Linked DNA regions of Drosophila melanogaster. The protein of the gene in region 2 interacts with the protein of the main gene of each other region in a pairwise test. Each region holds a gene or a part of one and is shown on either strand. Other genes may lie near its edges. The genes, in order: CG13494, Obp56a, Lcp65Ae and CG11409.

Region 1 (4,857 bases), 2.3 Mb from region 2:
ACTCAGCTATTTGATCCGAAATCGAAATCCACACATGACCAAACATTTAAATGTAATTGCACATATTTAAATTCAATGGGCCCCGTGCCAAAATATTGGAGCATTCAATTTATTACCGCCGTCGTTCGATTGCCAAGCAAATGGGGAATGGCCGATTGATGGGCGTTGTTTGGAATCCATTTAATAGCTCCTAAAAGGCGCTAATTATTTAACCACATAAATCAGGGCGAATTTATTGGCCAGAGTTGGCCCGCGAAAAAACCAATCATTTCGAGTTAGCAAAGGAAAAAGGAAAATTAAGTCAATTGTAGCCCTTCGCATGCCAGCAATACATTGTAGTCAGCAGACGAAGGACTTTAGTAGGAACTAGCCAGGTTTACCAATTTGAACTCTAATGTTAATTCTACAACATTAATATTCAGTGAATCCTGGGTCAGTAGCGTCAGCTTATCGATTTCAGTACTCTAGAAAGTCCAAGATCCTGTCTGGCCGGCAAACAAATAAAAATGGTCATGCAATATTAATATTTATGCACAAATATTGGGACTAGGGAAAGGGAGTACAAGTTTGCTTTATCTAAGTGAAATGCTAAAAGATTGATGACTTTGGCGCTGGGCTTGCCCATAGTGTGTGCCTGTATGTGTGAGTGAGTTTCTGCCACACTTATAAGAATTTATGGCAATCGAGGGCGAGCGAAACGCTGCGTATACGCAATATTTATATTTATGTATTATGAATCAATGCGAAAGGGCCGGCCAAGGCAATAAGAACAGGAGAAAAAAATGAAACGAGTATAAAAGATGCGCACTAAAACAAAAGGATAACAATAACTTTTCGCAGGATGCGTGACGTGGTAAGCAGGGCAAAAATAAGAGAAATCGAGGGAAATCCAAGCTTCTGGCCGGGGAAAAGTAAATGGTTTTGCAGACCTGCAGAGAAAGGTCCATTGGGGCGGATTATGAGTAAGATGCTCTCGATTCGCCCCCCCCCCCCAAAAAAAAAAATAAAGAACAGCGCACAGAGCCAAGTCATAAAAATTGCATGAAAATGGGGCCGGCAAATTCGGCCGCCTCATCCACCGACTCATATGTGCGGGGATTATCTGCCGGATGGGATACGCCGGGAATCCAAGTGCTTGTCTTGTTTATTTGTTTGGCTTTTACGCCAAAAATTATACTATTACAATCAAGTTTACGATTGCGATTCGCTGCCCCCGTTGAGTGCCAATGAATGCGATGATGGCAGGATACGAACATGATCATTGCCATTGCGTTTGTTCCTGATGATGATGATGATTGGTTGGGAATACACATAAATTCAGCTGCGTACGATTTTCATTGGGGACGGATATCTGACCATTTGGGACTTTTCGACTAGGAAGTCATATTTGCCGGAAGATGATTTTCTTTACATTCGCATCTATTCAAGTGGAAAGATAGCCTTAACTTGCTATAAATCCATTTCTTAGATTTAAATAGTTTCTGAAAATATATTTAGTGTAGTGAAGACGCCTGTTTAGTATTCAGTTTTACCCCGAGATGGAATCGCAGACAGATGAGCCTAGTCCTTCCGCCTTTCAACGCGTTGCCCTGCAACTCATCCTTCGTCGAATTCTAATGTGCAAGTTGACTTTGTGCAATCGCGCATTGCATGCCACGCAGTTACCCCTCAGCCCGCAGCCAAAAGCTCTTAACCCCCTGAGGATCCTCAGCCGTTCGAGGGATGCGGCAACTACACGGAGGCACCAACCGCAGCAACAACAAGGACAACGCCTGCGACAGGATATGGCAAGTGGGCAACTTTGGAGCGGGCGAGTTTAAATTGCCAGAGCTAAAAGGGTTGCCAGCAACAACGCCGTGAAAAACGTAACTTTTTTCTGCTTTCCCCTACGATTTCATTCCTTCTTTTTTCAGAAAACATCGACAAGCGGCGCTTTTGACTGCCATTACCCACATTGCCACCCCTCGCAGCTTGTTTTTTGTGGCACAAAACTTTGCACTTTGACATGCAGCCACGTGTGCCATGATGCTATATGTTAAAGGTGTGTATGTGTGTGTGTGTGTGAGTGAGTTTGCAGGTGTGGGTGAATGCATGTCTGAGTGTGGGTGTCAGTGTGAGGCAGTGAATTGAATGAGCTTTCAATGCTGCCACCGCCAATTGGCCGACAAACGTGTCTAATAGTTCCCAATTGCAATCACTGATTTGTGATTCAGAACGAGAAGTGGATTTTTACTTTCCCGGTGAGTATATTATCAGGAGTTGTTTGATCAACCTTTAGTTACTTAACACAATGTTCAGTGTTTAATTATGGTTGAAGTCCAACGCAGTTTATATTTATTATGCACGAAACAGATAGATATCTGAAAAAATATATATTCATTTCGCTGTTTATCGAAGAGCTTCCTTTTGTTTTTTGCATTAAGTTGTTGACTCATTTTCTTAATTTTCTCTGTGGAGTAATCAGCGCACAAAATACAGTCATTATAATCAACGACCTCTTGGTACAGTAAACAGCTCCCTATAACGAACCCAGGCGCACACGTGCGCACACTTGAAAAAAATCTTTCTACTCGCATGAATATTTTAAAGCTCGCATCACATTCAAATTATGATAATGATGGCGTGAGGCGAGGGTGTGTTTTTTGCATATGAGTTAAAGTGGGGGTGTTTCGCAGAGTGGGTGTTTGGAGCGCTAACGAGCGCAGGTACACACAGGAGCTCAGGGACAGCTCCCCAGATCCCCGTTCGAGGACCACCCCTCTCTGCCAACCCAATCCCAGTTCCACCCGCAAAATGCTTTCGTTAATGCATTTCATTAATTATTATACAATTCGAATGGGCATTGTATGACGGGTGGTGTGTTCGTGGGTTTAATGAGTACTTTTGTGGAAAGGATTTTAAGTGCGATTGATCGTTAGAAGTCGCTTCGTGTGGAAGCGTGACGAATGCACCTATGCCCATAAGCTTCTTTGCTTTTGTCTTTCGTAGATGGGGAACTTGAATATATTTAAAACCAAATATGATGCTAAATTGAAAGTGGGCACATATGAAAATTGTGCTGAAGGAGTCTTTGAATACACACTCAACTTTGCTGTCTGAATTTTTGTAATTTATTCTAATTTACAATAAGCTAAACGTTAAACATTTCAATACCGTCAACAAGTGATTAATCATGGATGACACATTATCAACGGTAGAAGGCGGGATGACGGAAACATCCTCATGGAGCACCACGATCGCCACCACCACCACTACAGAGGCCGCCAAGGCGGGTAGCATGGCTGTCGGTATTATTGTCCTGATCGTTGTTATGGTGCTCCTCTGCTGCCTGCTCATCATCTGCCTGCCGCTCCTCTGCCTGTGCGGCTGTTGCGGACTCGCCTGCTCCGCGTGCCTCGCTTGCGACGAAGGATGTTGTGGTGAAGGCGGCGGCGGTGGATGTTGCGGCGATGACGGCGGTGGATGTTGCGGCGATGGCGGCGGGTGTGGCGATTGTGGCGACGGCTGTGGGGACTGCACCTTGGACGATGATTAATTCGGCGATAATTCAAGTTTCTATTAATATGTACGTAGTGCTAGGATATGCGATTCGAAAGCCTATAAATTTAATGTGCTCAGGTACAGATTCGTTAGGAGCATCCGTATGCTCATTGGCAAAATTGTTGTCTATTCATAAAAAATAAAAAAATCTAGCTTAATTTTGAAATGATATCTATTAACTTAATATATGGCAACCAAAAATCAAATTTAAAGTACAAAAAAATATCGACTTCAGTAAGCTGCGACTGTACTCTTAAAATTAAAAAAAAATCTATACCCAAAATAAAATTTCTGAAGGGTCAGGGTCATCGAAATTCTTAAGCTGCTATGCAAGGAACGGTGAGAAGCATTCGTTAATTTAATGTGATTTTCCTTATACATATTTCCTTCCATTTAGAGGGTTCAATCTATTATCGAAAGCAACAAAATTTGCAATTTATTTCCCATAAGCTATGGCCGAGTTGGATGCTACAACCCTATCTGAATACGATATTGAATATATAGACTTTAACATGACAACTGTGGCGTACCGTACAACCACTGGACACCCGGATACTAACCTAGGTGCTTGGGGACTTTTGTTCATATTCGTCGTAATTTTTCTTATCATTGCTGCCTGCTGTGCTTGTATGGGTGTTCTCGTCCTTTTTGGTTGTATGAAGTCCTTTCTCTGTTTTCGCTGTAGACGCCGAGGCGACGAGTTTATAGGAAGGGAACCCTGACTGTCGTTGAAATTCTGTCATTAAAACTGAAACTTGTGCTAATAAAATTATATGTTTTGTATGAATCGAAGTCCAAAGGAATTATTTTGCCGACAAATTAATGCGGTCCTGCCAAATTACGGCAGAGTAATTGGAAAAGGATGTACTGAAGTTCAATATAACATTAACCAAACATAATTCTAAGGAGAAACGTCAGGACTTACCAGATTCCTGGACAAGTGGCATCTACCAGTAGAGAATCCTTGGCCAAAGTGCCAGTGTGACAAATGTAAACCGATTAGCCACAGCTGGGGCCGATTATCAGATGGCCCAAAGAAAATAGCCCAGGCCCTACAGAAAATGCCTCAGGTCAGGAATTTCCAGAGCTTTCTCTGCGGACTGTGGACTATGGACTGAGTGCATAAATTCCTGGCATCTCCTGCAGCTGCAGGAAAGACACAAAACACTCGCCCAAGTCCAAGTCGTAAATGCACTCAGCACTTTGTCAGCTCTCAGACAGGAAATGCAGTTGCCATTTTTCTTTCATCCCAGCAAATCCCGTTCACCTCCTGCCTTTGGCCCCCGCCCGGAAAGTCGTTCTGCAACTGTCTACATT
Region 2 (4,791 bases):
TTTTCTAAATGTTTTTAACGGTTCCATAGCATAGTTTTGGGCAGATTGTTAAGTAAACTAATGTGTTGATTTGAATGTAAAAAGAAGAAAACGAATGTAAGCAATTTTATCATACTTAAAATAAGTAAGTAACCATTTCCCAATCATTAATACACTAATAAGAAGACCCATATTATGTTATTATATGCAGCTGTATGTCGAATAAAAATTGTTTGTAGAAACTAAGAAACACAAAAGCCATTTCACTTAAAACATAAGAATCAATCTTAAAAGAAGAAAATCTATTTCACGCACAATAAGTAAATAAATCCAAAGTCCAAACAAAGCTCACTGACCCGAATGATCATCTAGGCAGCGATGATTTAACGCCTACTGGTTAAAATGGGAAAATTGGATCTGAATTAAAAATAACCCAGTTTAAAATTGATAAATTTTATTAATTGAATTTTAATAAAATAATAACTTGATTGGCAAAATTAAGTCTGGAACTTAAGCATGTTACGCGTATTTAAGCCATATTATTGTGAACGAAATTCAGTTCGACAGTGAATGTAGCTTTGGAAAGATGAAACTTATCTACTTGTTGGTTGTATTCCTAATTTTCGCTCTAAGCGAACTAGTAGCGGTAAGTTGGATGAAACGTTGCTTTAGGGATAATTCATCATTTTATTCGCATTTTTAAAACAGGGCCAGTCAGCTGCGGAATTGGCAGCCTACAAGCAAATTCAACAGGCCTGCATCAAGGAGCTGAATATTGCTGCCAGTGATGCTAATTTGCTGACCACCGACAAGGAGGTGGCGAATCCCTCTGAGTCGGTGAAGTGCTATCACAGCTGCGTCTACAAGAAACTGGGTCTCCTGGGTGACGATGGAAAGCCCAATACTGATAAGATCGTTAAGTTGGCCCAGATCCGTTTCAGCAGTCTGCCGGTGGATAAGCTAAAGAGTTTGCTTACCAGCTGCGGAACCACAAAGTCAGCCGCCACCTGTGACTTTGTCTACAACTATGAAAAGTGTGTTGTTAAGGGTATTAGTGCCTAAAATTAAAACAATAAAGCAGTTTAAGTGTTCAATGCAGTCATACATTTAATTATGCAAATTGAAAACGCCGAATCACCTGACTTACACATGAATATGGATTATAATCAGCTTACGCGAAACAGGGCTTGAGAGCATCAATTAAGCTGTGGCAAATTTGCCACTCACCCTTCTGATTCAGAATGATGCACTTGTTCTATGATTGCATTGAATCAAAGTAAACTGGGTGATTTAATAATAACAAGGATTTAACGTATTGTTGCATTTCTATTAACCCAAACTCAAACAAACCAAGAAGACATATTAACACCTAATATGGAAAACAAAGCATAGTTTCATTGGACAAAGAATTTATTTAAATTTTGTTACATTTTTTCCCGAATCACAATTTGCCAAGCATTAAATCCCTAACTTCTTTAGGCCTTAGCCTCGGGGGCGGGCTTGAAGCTCTCGAAGCAATCGTACAACTTGGAGGCGGTATCACACTTGTTCTCGCCCTTGATGGTCCTGCACTTCTCCAGAGCCGCCTTGGTCTTCTCCTCGCCAATGAGAGCGCCGAGCTTCTCCAGCACCACTGACTCCTGCAGCTCACCGTCCTTCAGGGTTCCGACCTTCTCGAAGAAGCAGTTGGCAAAGCACTTGATGTTCTCGGTGGGGTTATTGAAGTCCTTGGCATTGACCTTGGCCTTTTCCTCCTCGGTAAGTTTCACTTCCTCGGCGCACTGCTCACGATGCTGCTTGGCCAGATCCTTCTGCTCGTCGCTCAGATTAAGGGACTAAGAAAATGATAATTTAAGGTTTTAATAACAAAAACATTTAGCCAAGTCGTTTACTTCATATATTCCAAACACACACCAAAGGCTCGAAGATTCAGACTTTATATTTACAGCCAAGTCAGGGTCTTCAGTGTAGATATATGCTTATAAATATTACATCTTATAGGGTTAGAGTCCAATAAAATATTTCAAGACTTTAAAACCCATATAATTCTATTGTTTAGTTTTCTCAAACTCACCGATCCAACAGCCAGAGTCACAAAAAGAGCACTCAAAGCGATCACGAAGTAGGAGTTCATGTTGAGAAATACTTTGACTTGTTAGAACGTTGGGGAAGTTCTGATGCCGACATGGGATGGGATCGCGGCTTTTATACCCGGCTTGGTTGCCAATAAAAGCCGGTTTCTCTTTATGGCCCCGGGCAGTGATCCAACTAAGCCCAGCTGATGGCTTTGCTTTTTGATTTTTGTTTTGGTTTTGGTTTTAGATTTCTGTTTGCTATCTTTCCCATTTCCTTTGGTCTAGCTGGGTTCTTTTTTTTTGCAATCTTGGCCAGTACTTTCGTCTATTTGTGGCCCGCGGCCAGGTAGACAATCTGAAGTTATGGTCGCTATGAAAGCATGGTTCATTAAACCGCCTTCTACCTGTCCAACCTGGGGAATCGAATCAATTATACAGATAGAACGCAGACATGGTACAGACAGGGACGGCTCAAGTGGTGTCCAGATCGTAGGTCGCTCAAGTTACTCCGTCTGGAGTTGGAGTTGAAATTGTGGCTGCTCACTCATTATCGCTACACTCTATCAAAAACTTTCCACTGCTGCCCCATACCAGGTGGCAGATCCCAAGCTAAAGGCACAATAACCAACCGACAACGCCCCAGTCGGATTCTGATTCAGATATATATCTATGTATCTGGGCGGAGAGGTGTGGCCAAGCGCGTATTGAAAGTTGAGAAGCGCAAGGAGACAGACGACGACGGCAAAGTTTTTTCATTTGAATCCTATTATTTCAGCGTAGTTGTAATCTTATTATCCACGAGATGACAGCAAAATGACATTTAGAAAATTTCACGCTGTGTGAAATGTACAAAAAGAAAATGCGGGAATGCAGGAAAGTCAGTGCGTGTGGGTGGTAATGCTGATGCTGAGACTCAGACTGAGGCTGATGGAATCGAGCCGGAGTCGGAGTCGGATCCAAAGTCGTGGCCGGGATCCGGAGTTTCTGATTGGGACTGCGTACTGTGGCCAAGACATCCCTTCTCCCTCGCAAAAACCTTCGTCTACATCTTTGAGTCGGGCGTGTTTTTCACAAGTTTTCCACTGACTTCTTCTGCTGTCGCTGCCTTCCTTTTAATTTCAATTCTGACATTTGTTTGTCTGCTGTCAAAATAAAGTAGCTTTGGCGCTAAAGAAATAAACCATAAGATTGCGATTGAAAATTTTCCAACGCACACGCAGACACCACAGCCCCCTCCACCATCCCAACATCCGCCCCCTGACCAACCAGTGGCTGAAAACTTTTCGCTCTGACGCAATAATAATAATAAACTAAAGCTTGTTTGACTTCTCCGCAAATGCTTTGAAATCCTTGTGTGGTAATCTTAATTCAATTTGCTTGTGGTGGGGACAGCCGACTTGAGTGATAAACTCTGGCGTTACACATGCAAAGATTGTTTGTTGGATGTAAGAAAAAAACCTGGCAATTTAATCTGAAAACTTTATAAAAATAATGATTTTGAAGGAGAGTAAAAGCATTTTAGGAATGTTAACAGGTGGCAATTAGTTTTTTGTTGGCTTTGTTTTGGACGTAAGCTTTGTATTAAGTCAGGAATTTTATAAAGGTTTAATTAAAAGAAATTACATTCGAACGTATTAGGTATTTGAGTTAAATACGTAAAATGCAAATAAAAGTGATGCTTTTCTACAAAAGGTTAAAGGTGCTCCCTTATGTGACCATTTAAATATCTAGACAAACAGGATTAATTTCTCAAAATTTGTACATTCTTTTTCAACTTTCGAATCATTAACAAGGCAAAAATGTAATATTTGTTCAAGCTTATTTCTAACGAACCAGAGCTGAGCTATGGATGGCTATCCCTATAGAGCACAAGGCAAAACCATGAAGAGCATAATCAGTCTACAAGCCCCCCGTCCAATGCCGCCAAATTTCAGCTAGAAATTAAGTACAATTTTCATTTTAAATTAAGCTGCCACGGCATCCCCGCAGAGCAGATCCTGCTCAGCTTTCGACGTCATTAATCACCACAGAACACAGCAGCAACAACAACATGCTGGCCAAAGAGCATTTGTCAGAGACTTTTGGGTTACTTTCTTCGGTGGGGTGAAGCATTTTCTAATCGCCCCCATGGAAAGTAAAAAAAAAAGAATGAGAGTTGGAAAAAGTTACGCCCAAGAATCAGCCCGTGTACACATGTCAGGGGGTTGGCTTAATATCCCCAACTATGAAAACTCCGGCCCGACGACGACCCACCTGTCTGAGTTCTATTTCTGTGAGAAAAATGGTCGCTAAATTTGCGTGAAAAGGCAAATAATTTGAAATTCCCAGGGGTTCTAAATAAGTAAATTTAAATTGCATTTGTATGCGTTCAAAAATTTGTGCCTTTCCCTTCTTTATTTTTGAGGGTCTGGGCGCTTGTGTGTTTTGGCCATAGCAAGTTTTTGTTTGCCACTGTTGCCGTTATAAATTTGCGTGTCAAAAGCGACGAGGTGAAGGTTTTCCGCTTAATTTTTTTTTTTTTTGATGTTTCGCATATGCGGAAGGAAGTTTTCCCCCAAAAACCCCCATGCCTGGCTTTCCGCCATGTCTATGTGTTTGGCCAAATGTTAATGTCCTTATCAGCGCTTCAGCATTTTTACATGTGTCCGCATTTGAAATATGCGGCAATGGTAAATGTTTTTCTGGCACTTTGCATGCACCCATATGAAGGAAATGCAGAACGGGGTGGGGATTTTCT
Region 3 (4,867 bases), on a different chromosome or scaffold from region 2:
TGGTATCCGTTCTCGTCGGCGGTGTAGGCGATGGAGTAAGTCTGGCCATCATCGGCCACAAAGGAATAGGTACCCTTGACGTTGAGAGCCTCCTCATCAGTTCCAACGTTCTTCAGCTGTCCGGCGGCCTGAGCAGAGGATCCATCGCTGGTCTCGTAGCTAATCAAGAGCAAAGGGTAAGAAAACAAATCCTTGTCACATAGTTCACAAAACATACCCATAGTTAAAGCTTACAGGTCCGACATCGGACTCCTGCTTCAGAATCTGAACATCGGCGACAGCCAGGGCGAAGAGGGCGACGAAGACAATCAGGAACTTCATGTTGATTTTTGGCTTATGTGCTGATCTCGAAGAGTTCGATGCGAATGATATCGATTGACTTTGGGATGAACTCATTTATACATAAATTGTGAACAAGTCCAAGGTGCGGTGACGCTAATCTAATTCGCATACTGAGCATAAAATGCATGATATTGAGTTCAGTTTTGCTTTCAACTCAATGGTGAACGTTTTTGAGTGTTGCCATTTCAGCGCTTCAATTTTGATTACATTTTATCAAATTTGTTTGAGACTAGCTGTGGAAATTTAATATTCATAGATCTAGAGATCTAGAGAGATGTGGATGAATTTAAATTAACGATACATTTATTTATTTATTATATTATTTTTGAATGGGAAATGTAGACTTCTTTCAATGAAGTCCTTTTAAAAATAAAATTCTAATTAGTAAAAAATTCAAAAGAAATGGGAAAAAGTAGGCCAGGCATGTAACTTTATGTAGCAATAATTGCTCCAACAACTCGGATTTATTTGTTAGGTATAAGAAAATATTAATACAGTTTTTAAGCAAGCTTATTTCGTATACAAGATTTAAATAAAATTTATAAGTAAACTAAACTAAAACTAGATTAGGGTAGGCATTTTCCATTAATATAGGTGGAAATAGGGAATATGAAATCCCATTTTCTGGCATTCTAAATACGTGGCTCTTACTGCATATCAGAAAGTACAATTAAAATCGACTAACAATATATATAAAAAAATACTTAAGATATCGGTCCAATCATCAGATCGATCGATCTGATCTTTTGGGATGAGTACACGTTGTGCTATAAATATTTCATTTTTTAGAAGTTGACTTCTTGTGACCCAAATAGGAAATTGAAAAACAGATTCTTTTATATACATTCATTATTTTTTATTATTTAGTAGCTCTACAATTTTGACTTTTGACTTGGCCAAAACGGATTTAGGGCAGTTAAAGCAATATTAAAATCATGGTATTCCACTTCGAACCACTTAGGAGGCAACGGGAAGATGGGCACCCTGGGGCTGGAATCCGTTCTCATCGGCGATGTAGTTGACTTCGTAGGTCTGGCCATCATCGGCAACGAAGCGGAAGGATCCCTGGACAGCAAGGGACTCGTGGTCGGTGTTAGGGTACTTCAACTGTCCCTTAGCGTTAGCCGCCTGGCCATCGCTGGTCTCGAAGCTAATACGAAGGTCCAGAATCAGTTAGGCATTTTTATGAGGACCCTGTCAGTCTACTTACGACCACTGAAAGTTTTCGGGTCCAACATCGGATTCCAAGTTAATAATTTGCGCTTCGTTAGCCAAAGCAAAAGCGAAGATTGCTACAAAGACGATCAGGAATTTCATGTTGAATTTGGGCTGGTTTGGAGATCTCGAAGAGTTCGATGCGAATGATATCGACGGAGTGCAGGATGAACACTTTTATATTTGACTTGCAATCTAATCCACGACACTGTCAAACCTAAAATCTTGCATATCTCATTAAATGGACTCGCATTTTGGAAATCGCAAAACTATAATGGGATGCTTCATCGGGTTTTTCGAATTAATGTCCCTGCACATACATTTCGCATCGTATCAAGCTGGAATGACATGAAATAAATAGTCGTCAGGCAAGATAGTTCTACTAATTGGCTAGTTCACCACTAACAATGGCCATAAAATTAAACAATTCTTAGACAAATTCAAATGTGTAGCACTTCTTATTGTTCAACTTCATTTTCACATCCCTTCCTAATATAACAATCGGAAAATAGCAATGAGTTCAGTTCGATCGATTCGCATACGTATATTTAGAACTTCATTGAGCATACCAGCCAATAGTTCTGTACATCAACGACAATAAGTATGTAAATCAAGTGTGTTCAACTTAAAATTGGGCATGGAAACTACGTCAGCGCTCTGTTAGCTTAAAGATCGATCAATGCGTCCAATCGTTTCATTCCAAAACTAGTTTGATCATTGTAGCTTTTTATTTCATGCATATTAATTTGGCCGTTTGGCTCTCTGTGCGCTGTATGTTGTTTTTGGAAGGTATCTTCCAAATTTCATTAGCATCGCATGAAATTTAAATCAACGCCTGAAATTAACCTTCAAAACTTCGTTTTCATTTGTGGCCAGATCCCTCGCACATTTTTCAATATGCGCCACTTTAATTATGTATTAATTACAAAGACAACAAAAACCCAAACATGTTTGGCTGTGCCAAAAATTTGCAAGTTTCTGCCAACCGAAGGCCGTCCAGGCAAAGTCGCCAGACGAGACGAGCCAAGACGAGACACACACCGCATTTCGACGTTCAACGTTGCGTATGGAAAATGTGAAGAGAACAGGCACCCTGTTCTTCCATCTCTTGCGTCATACTTTTCTTTTCATTGATATAGCCCTACCATAAATATTAAATTTAGCATAGGGAACGTCTTTTGATCCGGGTTGAACGGACGATCTAACTCATTTCACTTTATGATCGCAAAAAATCCAAACAGACTAGCTGAAGACTGGCATTTGATTGTGATAATTTAATAATCAAACAATACGATTCAGCTATTTATGTATTGATATCGACTATGTTATTATAATGAAATATGATCATTGGAGCAAACATTAAAATACTTTAGAACCCTGATATTTTTACAATATAAAGAAATACTGCTTTCGATACTGACTACACAAAGAGGAAATACTTAGTTGTGGGGCAGATGATCGCCCTGGGGCTGGAAACCGTTCTCATCCGCAATGTAGTGCAGGGTGTAGGTCTGGCCATCGGGAGCAACCCAGCTGACGGAACCGCGCACACTGAGCGCCTCCTGGTCGGTACCGGCGTTCTTCACCTCAGCCTGCTCCTGGCGGGTAACTCCATCACTGGTCTCGTAGCTGAAATCAAGATAGTTAACTCTTTTGAATGGGTTCTTCTTTTCGAAAGGCGAGAGTACACAAAAGTTTCAATCCTTGGAAATATCCCGTGCATTGTCCTTGCTACTCACCCGAAGTTGTAGCCATCAGTGCCAATGTTGTCGTTGTCGTATCTTAGTATGGTGGCATGTTGGGAGTCGTCCAGAGGAGCAGCCCTAATGGTGGAGAGCAGAGCGAAGGCGCAAATGGCCAGGACACAGATGCTGGAGGACTGCATGTTTAGTTGGATTGGATTCTGGTAGAGACTTTTCAAAAGGTCCTGGCTAAGTTTGGTTTTTAGTGCACGCTCCGGTAGTTATCACAATTAGGCACTAACGAGTAATGTGGCTAACTGTAATGAGTGTTGAGCTATTTATAACTGGCCGGGCCAAAACTCCAAGTGCTGCGAGTCCAACACACACACTCATTTACACACACTTATGTGATCCGTAAAGTTTAGGTGGCCCATAACAAACACCTCAAATGCTAACACAATTATCTACCCATACGCATATAATTGAAGGCAACTGTATGGCAGCGTGAGTAGCTTAAGCTTTTAATTGAACAAGCCAAAAAAATAATTTAAAGACCATTAAGCGTTTGATGTGCGCTCGAATCTCATCTCAATTGCCACGCCACGGGAGCTGAAAGTTAAATCGGAGCTGAAGATGATGGAGCAAGTGATAATGAAATGTTTGGGCCCCCCAACAAAAAACAAATATTTGGTCAATGCGCGTGTTTGCCTACAAGTAGACAAGCAGGCATATATACATTTGGATCTATGGCAATAGGTCAATGGCTATGTTTGCACTTATCAACAAATTGTGATGAAAAAGATTATCGAAGATGAAACAAAGCAAAATGGGTTGGAAATTAAATCCCCAAGAGAAGTGAGCAGTGAGGAAGTGAATAAAACTCAACCACTTAAAATATGTTTAGGAAACTAAGCAAAGAACGGGAAGAAGAATTCAATTCATGGAATCTAGGAATTCCCATGATCTTGAGATTTAATTGCCATCATATAAACACTTAATCTCCGCTTTTTCAGCTGATATTTCCTCATAAATGTAATTCTTGAATTATCCGACTGCAAAGCTGCAAATTTTTTTTGGGGAATATTGAAGCATTTCCGCCCTGACGTCTGTTAACTGCTGACACAATTTCCGATTAAGACAGGGCGATTTAACCTCCAAAAATCTTGAAACGAATCGAATCGAAAAGAAACGAAAACCTCCACCGCCATTGCTTGTCAGCTGCATTTGCTGTTTAAGTGAAGATGCGGCACGAGAGATTCAAGATTACGCGGCTCATCATCGTCGTTTCCATCTCCATAGTCAGCAGCCCGAGTGTTGGTTGATGACCTTAGTCAATAAAATACCAGCTAACCAGACAACAAAAGCCAATACCAAGCTCAGCCGACTAAGGCTGGGCTATGTATGCCCTACAATACCACAATACATCGGGGCGTATGCGTAATGTCACTGCTGGTCATTTTCGGGCATTATAAATCATTCAGAAATCTGTGACTGGTACACAGCAAGAAGTAGTCTAATGGCATAATTGCATACAGAATCACTTTATAATTTGTTTAGACTAAACTTTTTAAGAGACCTTGTTCCTTTAATATATGTAAATACATACTTAAAGTCATACAAAAATATAA
Region 4 (6,509 bases), on a different chromosome or scaffold from region 2:
GATTGCCGAAAAAACAACGACAGTAATAATAAATATTAAAGCACTTTACATGCCTTCGCTTAATTTTTGAATTGCTTTTCAGCTGCTATAATAGTTATGAAAAGTGTCGCTGCAATTATGTTGTCTTTTTTTTTTTCGTTGGCATTATTTTACCACCAGTTATTTCATTATTCCCCTTCTTGGACTGCCCCTCGTTGCGCAGTGTCTTATTTCTATTTGGGTATGGGCTATGCAATTTAATTAGAGCATATTACGAGTAATTGCTTTTTGTCTAGCTCTAGACATTTGTGCTAAGCTTCCTTAAATCCTACATCTACTTCTAAACTGAATACTATGAACTGCCTGGTAGAAGCTATAGGGTACATTATGCGTAACCAGACAGTTCATGTCTTAATGACAGCCATTAGATCCTATTTGATCCCATTCGTTGCACATGCAATTGAAATCCCCTTTGCAGTGCCCTTGTGCCAAGGTCGTTGCTGCGGTGCAGCCTATTCGAATCGTGGATCGTGAGTTCGTTGCCTAAGTCTTTTGTTTGTTGCTTGCACCACCTGTGCAAGACCAATAACCTGTCTGTCACCAGCGGACCAGCAGTAGCCAACTATTTTCAATTACATTTTAAATTTTCTGCCGCTCGCTCGCTCACGTTCGCCGCGCACTCCTAAAAATCCAAATTTAAATCGAATCGAGACGCTTTTTCACAACTTCAGAGGCGTCAAACTTTCAATGCACACGGAGCACAGCACACCACACTGTTAAAAAAAATCGAGGAAGGAAAAACCGAAATTAAATCGAAGCAAAACGCGAACACGCGACTGTCGCTTGGCTTCTGTGTCGGTATCGATATAGATAGATAGCGGACTCGGTTTTGTTTCGTTTTCGGTCTCAATCGCATGCGCGGCCTGCAGACCATTTTCAATGAGCGTTCGCAGCGTACTGAACCCGGCCGAAAGTCGTCTTGGCCAACTTCGCTGCTGCTGCTGCTGCTGCTGCTGCTGCTGCTGCCGCCGCAGCTGCTGGTGCTGCTGCTGCGGCTTATGCTGCTACTACCGCTTTTGCTGCGGCGATCTGGCTCTTTAGAAGTCGGGGCTAGAAAACACTGGATGCTGAGTGCTTTGATTAGATGCATCCATTTAATCCCATTTGAAATGCATGGCATAAACTTACATTTCGTAGCCTAGATTCGGTGCTCCAACTTGCTGGCCTCACATATACGATACCATCTATTAGGCTCGCTTGGAGCCATTACATAAATTGGTTCATTGTAAAAACACACTTAACACAAAGCAATTTAAAAAGGCATGTTAATGCACGTCATGTGCCGACACTCGTACTATACTAGACTGTTATATGTACTGCAATAACATTTGAAATAGTAACCATACGGCTCAAGCTTGCATTGAGTTAAACTATTTTGCTGCAGATTGAACGATTTTAGCACCTAATAATAACGAGGCCTCATCTCGAATGATTGGCATGACATAGCGATAGCAGATTGCTAGTTGGCTGGTTCTTTAAGTACTGCCCTGGGCAACGCAGGGTGCAGCGCTCTGGCGCCGAAGTCTCAATTAAAAATCGATTTGGCTTAGAAGACATTTTTGGGAGGGATTACGATCGCGACGCGAGGCCGGTCGTGGTAACCGCTGATCGCCCAGCTCCCATCAAATCGGTTGATCGCCGGTTAAAAGTGGCTGGCTTGCCTTGACCAAGTACACTGCGAACGATGATAAGACGGAGCATGGCTCTGGCCAGGGAAGGTGAACAGGTAAACAGCACTCTGCCGTGGATGCAGACGGGTTTCTGCTAGCGCACGGGCATTTCACTTCGGCCAGCTTCTTTCCCCCATTGACAAATTCGATTGGTTCGGTTTTCTCTGGCTTTCTGCTGCTGCGCCCCGCAATGTAGCGGACTAATATTGGTTTGGTTTTTATTACCATGTGGTCTCTGCTCTGCTCCGCTCCGCTTGCATAATAAAACTCACGCACAAGGAGCGCGGCCAGCCATGGTCTGTATATAGCCGTTCAACGATCGAAGACCGTCGATGGGCCTCAATGAACTCGGGCTCCAGTGCTTCCCATCGCTGCCACTCGATCGCTCTGATCCCTCCGGACTTCAAGTGGACCGGCCGGGAAAATCCATTGGGTTTGCAAAACATGAGAGTTCTGTCTTATCTTACGATTACTGCTACAAATTTAAAGACGCAGTTAAACCTAGTTTCTCAATAGGGCCACACACAGGCCACAAACGTTGGGCTCATTTTGCGCTTGGCACGTTTTGCTCGAAATAATTAAAACGATTTTTGGTTATTTGTAACATTTGCCATTTGCACACAACGGTGTTTACCGCCTCGCCGCAAAAAAGGGAGGCTGAGGCTGCTTTTTTGTGTGTGACAACATTTGACACAATTTAACGCTGACGCGACACATTCGTCTGCGGTTTTAGTTTGCTTAGCTCAGCTCGAGCCGCATGCCTTATGCTTCACTTAAGTTGTTTTGGGATGGGTAAGGTACATAGGTGGAACTAGGGGTAGGGTTTGGCCAGGTGCTTCACATTTGGAGCGCATGCGCTTTGACTTTGCCATTTGCGCACACTCGCAGCATTGCGACACGGCAAACAACAAAGCCCCAAAGGAAACCGAACTAAAACAACCAAAAATATATAAACGAAAACTCAGAAAAATTACGAAGCCCATAACTCTTGACATGACACGGCCAAATGCTCGGGAGAATGGAGTGGGGCTCGGCTTGGAGCTATGGAACTATGGAGCTATGGAGCATCGCGCAAAAAGTGAATTGCTTTAATGCGCCGTGGATGTGCAAAATAAAATTGGTCAAATACCCAGGTCGCAGGCCAAATACCCTAATACCCTTAGGTGGCCTTAGCATACGTAGCTCTTGACTTATAGAACCAACTTCACTGACGAACCAACTGACAATGCTATGTCCGTTGGCTGGGGAGCCGCCAGTTACCATGATCAACCGACACAAAAAATATAGTTTAAAACAAGAAGTCCATGCCATTGTGGCCAAACTGCATATATCATTTCGTCACGTGGGTGCTAAGTGCTAAATTGTATCTCTATCTTTTAGAGATCTCCGCCAGCAAGGTGATAAGGCGTTGGCTGCGGCACCTGTCCGCTCCCGCTCTCTCCCCTTTCTTCGTTACCCTTTCTCCGCCACTGCTTTTACTTTATTCGGCCATTCACTTTCTCCGTATGTTGTTTGCTTTGCTAATTTTGGATTTGCCCGCGTCACTGCAGCAACAGCGAAAAGTGAAACAGACGTCCAGAAAAACGGACGCCAACTTGCGCTTGCAAGTTCGTATGCAAAATTTCAAGAAATTATCCAATCGCGTGGCTCGGATTATTCAATTTCAGTCAATCAAATTCAAGTCCAATTCCGTATGCAAAGTAGGCTATGCTGGTCCGAAAGCAGATCGAAGATCGAGACCGCCTGGCCTCCCCAGCCGATTTCGTCACCAGCTAGTGCTGATGTAGTCCCAGTTCTGGGGGCAGCCAGCCCAACTGAGAGGCAACGACATCGGCCATGCCGAGTTCGTTCGTTACCCAAGTCTTTCGATTATGACGTTGGGAGGAGCTGGAGTCCCCATCAAAGCGACGGGCTATAACGCTAAAACAGTCGACTGATTGCCGTCGTTAAAAATCCACAAAATTGACAGCAAACGGCAGGCGGATTTCTCCTGGCAGTTACCACATACATATGTACATACATTGTAAAATCAGGGGTTATATTTTCATTTGACTCGAAACCTTTGCAAGTTCCGAATAATCCTGCGTTCTCAACCAAGACAAACGGCAAGGAAAGTGGAGGAAGTGCAGATCTCAGGAAACTGCGGATTAGTGACTTATGTGACTTATATGATTCGAGATTGTAATTTGGTTTTATTGCATTTGATTTAGCTGTAATTTATGGATTTTATTTTATGGCGAATGCTAATGGCGCGAAAAGGAAACCAAAAGTAGGCGAAGGTCGCACTGCAGAGTTATTAATTAGTACAACTGAATTTAACTAGTAACTTACCAATTGAAGAACGTTTTTAATAGTTTGGAAATCACAAAACAAAAGAGACAAAAAAATAAGCGCAGGAGAAAACACGCACGTACACACAAACACACACACGTATACTTTTAAATGGCGAGTGTAAGTGAACATACGTTTCGAGCAATTTATTGGACTTCCATCCGTTTTCGGGTAACATTTCGATGCTACTCATTGCCACGACATGCACTTAATTATAACTAACACTTCAAACTGATTTGCAGCACTTTTTTCAAACAAAAGTCCCGTAAATCAAAAATCTTTACGCCGTAAAATAGTTGCTTCTTCTTTAAGAAGAAAAGGAAGAACAAGAAGAGAACTTTGAAATGAGCAGCTTCTTCTTCTTATTATTGATCCTCTTTTCCGTTATGTACAGCACACCCTCGCAAAAAGGCACAAGCTGACGATCTAATTTGGCAAAAGTATTGCAAATACAAATAAGTTAACATTCCAAAGTCAGAAATTAAATGGCAGCTATAAAGAATATAGGTATGAGAATATTACGTTTAAAGATTGTAATAATATTACAAAGATCAAATCTAATCAAATATCAAATATATGAACATTTGCGATGTAAGGTGCATGCCAAATATAAATTTGATAAAATCAACGTAGTTTTAGATTTTATTTAATATAATTTTTAAATATTTTCATTAATCTTAGCTGTTAATTTAATAGTAATAATATCAATTGATAATTCGATAGCCGATAGTCACAGTTGGCCGGCGATGATTGTATCGATAGTATCGAGTGCCAATCGATTGCTGTTACAGCTGTTCGCGCATATGTGTGGGTGGGATTTATTCATAGCAAGGAAAATTACGAGTTTTGCGGATATAGGATTTTACATAAGTTTGCCATGCACACGCACTAGCGCCACAAATCGAGATCGGATTGATCGATCCGGAACTCCGAATATCGGAAGCACAACAAAGAGGACGGCCGACTGCCCCATGTGTGCGTGCGCGAGTGTGTGAGTATGTGCGTGAGCGTGTGCGTGTGCGTGTGAATGAAAAACCATCAACTGTGAAAATATAACCAAAAATAAGTCCGAGGCACACGGTTGCAGGCGAGGATTACCAGTCCTCCCAGATAAGCCCCGGAGGAGCAGCAGGTTCCCTCTTAGAGCCAATTCCGTCGCTTTTCAGAATGGCGGATGCCCAGGCAGCGGCGGCCGGAAAGAAGAAGTACAAGAACAAAAAGAACTCAGCGGAGAAGAACCCCAATCACAATCCAAATTCCAGTGGCCAGGTGGAGGCACAGACACCCAGCAATGGACACGTTCAGCACCAAGAGGAGGAGGCGACGGAAGACCAGGAGCCAGCGCAGGAACTCAGAGGCCTGCTTAAAAAGATGCACCTTTGCAATGGCCATGGTCACAAGGAGCAGGAGGCTCGGCCGCTTGGGGAGGTCGTCAATGGCCATGCACATGGGCACAGCAACAACAATCACATTCGCTGCACAAGCGGCAGCAGCAACAACAACAACAGCACTCACAACAACAACAGCGTGGACAGCAGCAACAACAACCGCAAGCAGCGAAGAGAAGGAGGCGACGGCGGAGGATCGGATTCGAACTCCCTCAAACCGGAGGAGAAGCCCATAACAGCCACAAGCAAAACCACTGCCAACATACACCCAACCACAACGACGGACCCAAAACCAAAAGTGTCGGAGGATGTAGCTGTGGAACAGGGAGTGCATGTGGCGACGGGGAGTGGCCACAGTCGGGAGCAGGAGAGGAAGCAACCGCCCTCCGACTATGCAGAGGGGGCCACGCCCACCATTACAGCACAGCTCCAACTGCCGGAACCTGCCATTTCAGCCGACGAGATCGTATATAAGGAATACGAGGCTGAACACCAAATGCATGTGAGTACCTCCAAGTATGACCAAGTGCGAACTGTGCGCAACACTTATCTAATTCCCCGCATATCGAACACGCAGGACATCATGCGACTGATCCAGGCGGAGCTGTCCGAGCCGTACTCGATATACACGTATCGCTACTTCATCTACAATTGGCCAAAACTCTGCTTCCTCGCCTCGCACGACAATCAGTACGTGGGCGCCATCGTGTGCAAGCTGGATATGCACATGAACGTGCGGCGCGGCTACATCGCCATGCTGGCCGTGCGCAAGGAGTATCGCAAGCTCAAAATCGGCACCACGCTGGTCACCAAGGCCATAGAGGTAGGATGTCTGGGGCATCTTTCCCTTGCAATAAGTTATAAATCGGGTTGCATGTAATCGATGCTCGATATGTGTGTTACGGAACAATTATGTGTTGTTAACTATGGATGAAATTGCCATCAAAGCTCACCAATGGCTCCTCGAGCCTCGAGGTATACTTTCGGGCACATTGGCGAGGGATACATACCAACTACCTCTCTTTCTGTGAAAACTTATATCACACTGCAATTTTCCCATTTGCAGGCAATGCTGGCCGAC

Evidence for each region.
Region 1: the proteins of Obp56a (region 2) and CG13494 interact in a two-hybrid assay, tested with the Drosophila melanogaster proteins (one large-scale study listed by BioGRID).
Region 3: the proteins of Obp56a (region 2) and Lcp65Ae interact in a two-hybrid assay, tested with the Drosophila melanogaster proteins (one large-scale study listed by BioGRID).
Region 4: the proteins of Obp56a (region 2) and CG11409 interact in a two-hybrid assay, tested with the Drosophila melanogaster proteins (one large-scale study listed by BioGRID).

What each region holds. Positions count from the first base shown.
Region 1 is NT_033778.4:21,953,088-21,957,944, reverse strand, and holds CG13494 (uncharacterized protein), read left to right. Parts: upstream 1-3,099; 5' UTR 3,100-3,172; coding exon 3,173-3,535; 3' UTR 3,536-3,703; downstream 3,704-4,857. Other genes in the region: CG43405 (uncharacterized protein), read left to right, coding at 3,993-4,262.
Region 2 is NT_033778.4:19,695,092-19,699,882, reverse strand, and holds Obp56a (Odorant-binding protein 56a), read right to left. Parts: upstream 2,161-4,791; 5' UTR 2,114-2,160; coding exon 2,054-2,113; intron 1,815-2,053; coding exon 1,455-1,814; 3' UTR 1,375-1,454; downstream 1-1,374. Other genes in the region: Obp56b (Odorant-binding protein 56b), read left to right, coding at 566-625, 688-1,041. UniProt on the Drosophila melanogaster protein: Present in the aqueous fluid surrounding olfactory sensory dendrites and are thought to aid in the capture and transport of hydrophobic odorants into and through this fluid.
Region 3 is NT_037436.4:6,136,420-6,141,286, forward strand, and holds Lcp65Ae (Lcp65Ae), read right to left. Parts: upstream 1,700-4,867; 5' UTR 1,660-1,699; coding exon 1,553-1,659; intron 1,493-1,552; coding exon 1,300-1,492; 3' UTR 1,164-1,299; downstream 1-1,163. Other genes in the region: Lcp65Af, read right to left, coding at 1-159, 218-321; Cpr65Av (cuticular protein 65Av), read right to left, coding at 2,997-3,186, 3,297-3,442.
Region 4 is NC_004354.4:1,337,285-1,343,793, forward strand, and holds the start of CG11409 (uncharacterized protein), read right to left. Parts: upstream 4,304-6,509; 5' UTR 4,041-4,303; intron 939-4,040; exon of another isoform or gene 616-938; intron 1-615. Other genes in the region: Naa30A (N(alpha)-acetyltransferase 30 A), read left to right, coding at 5,208-5,930, 6,006-6,251, 6,495-6,509.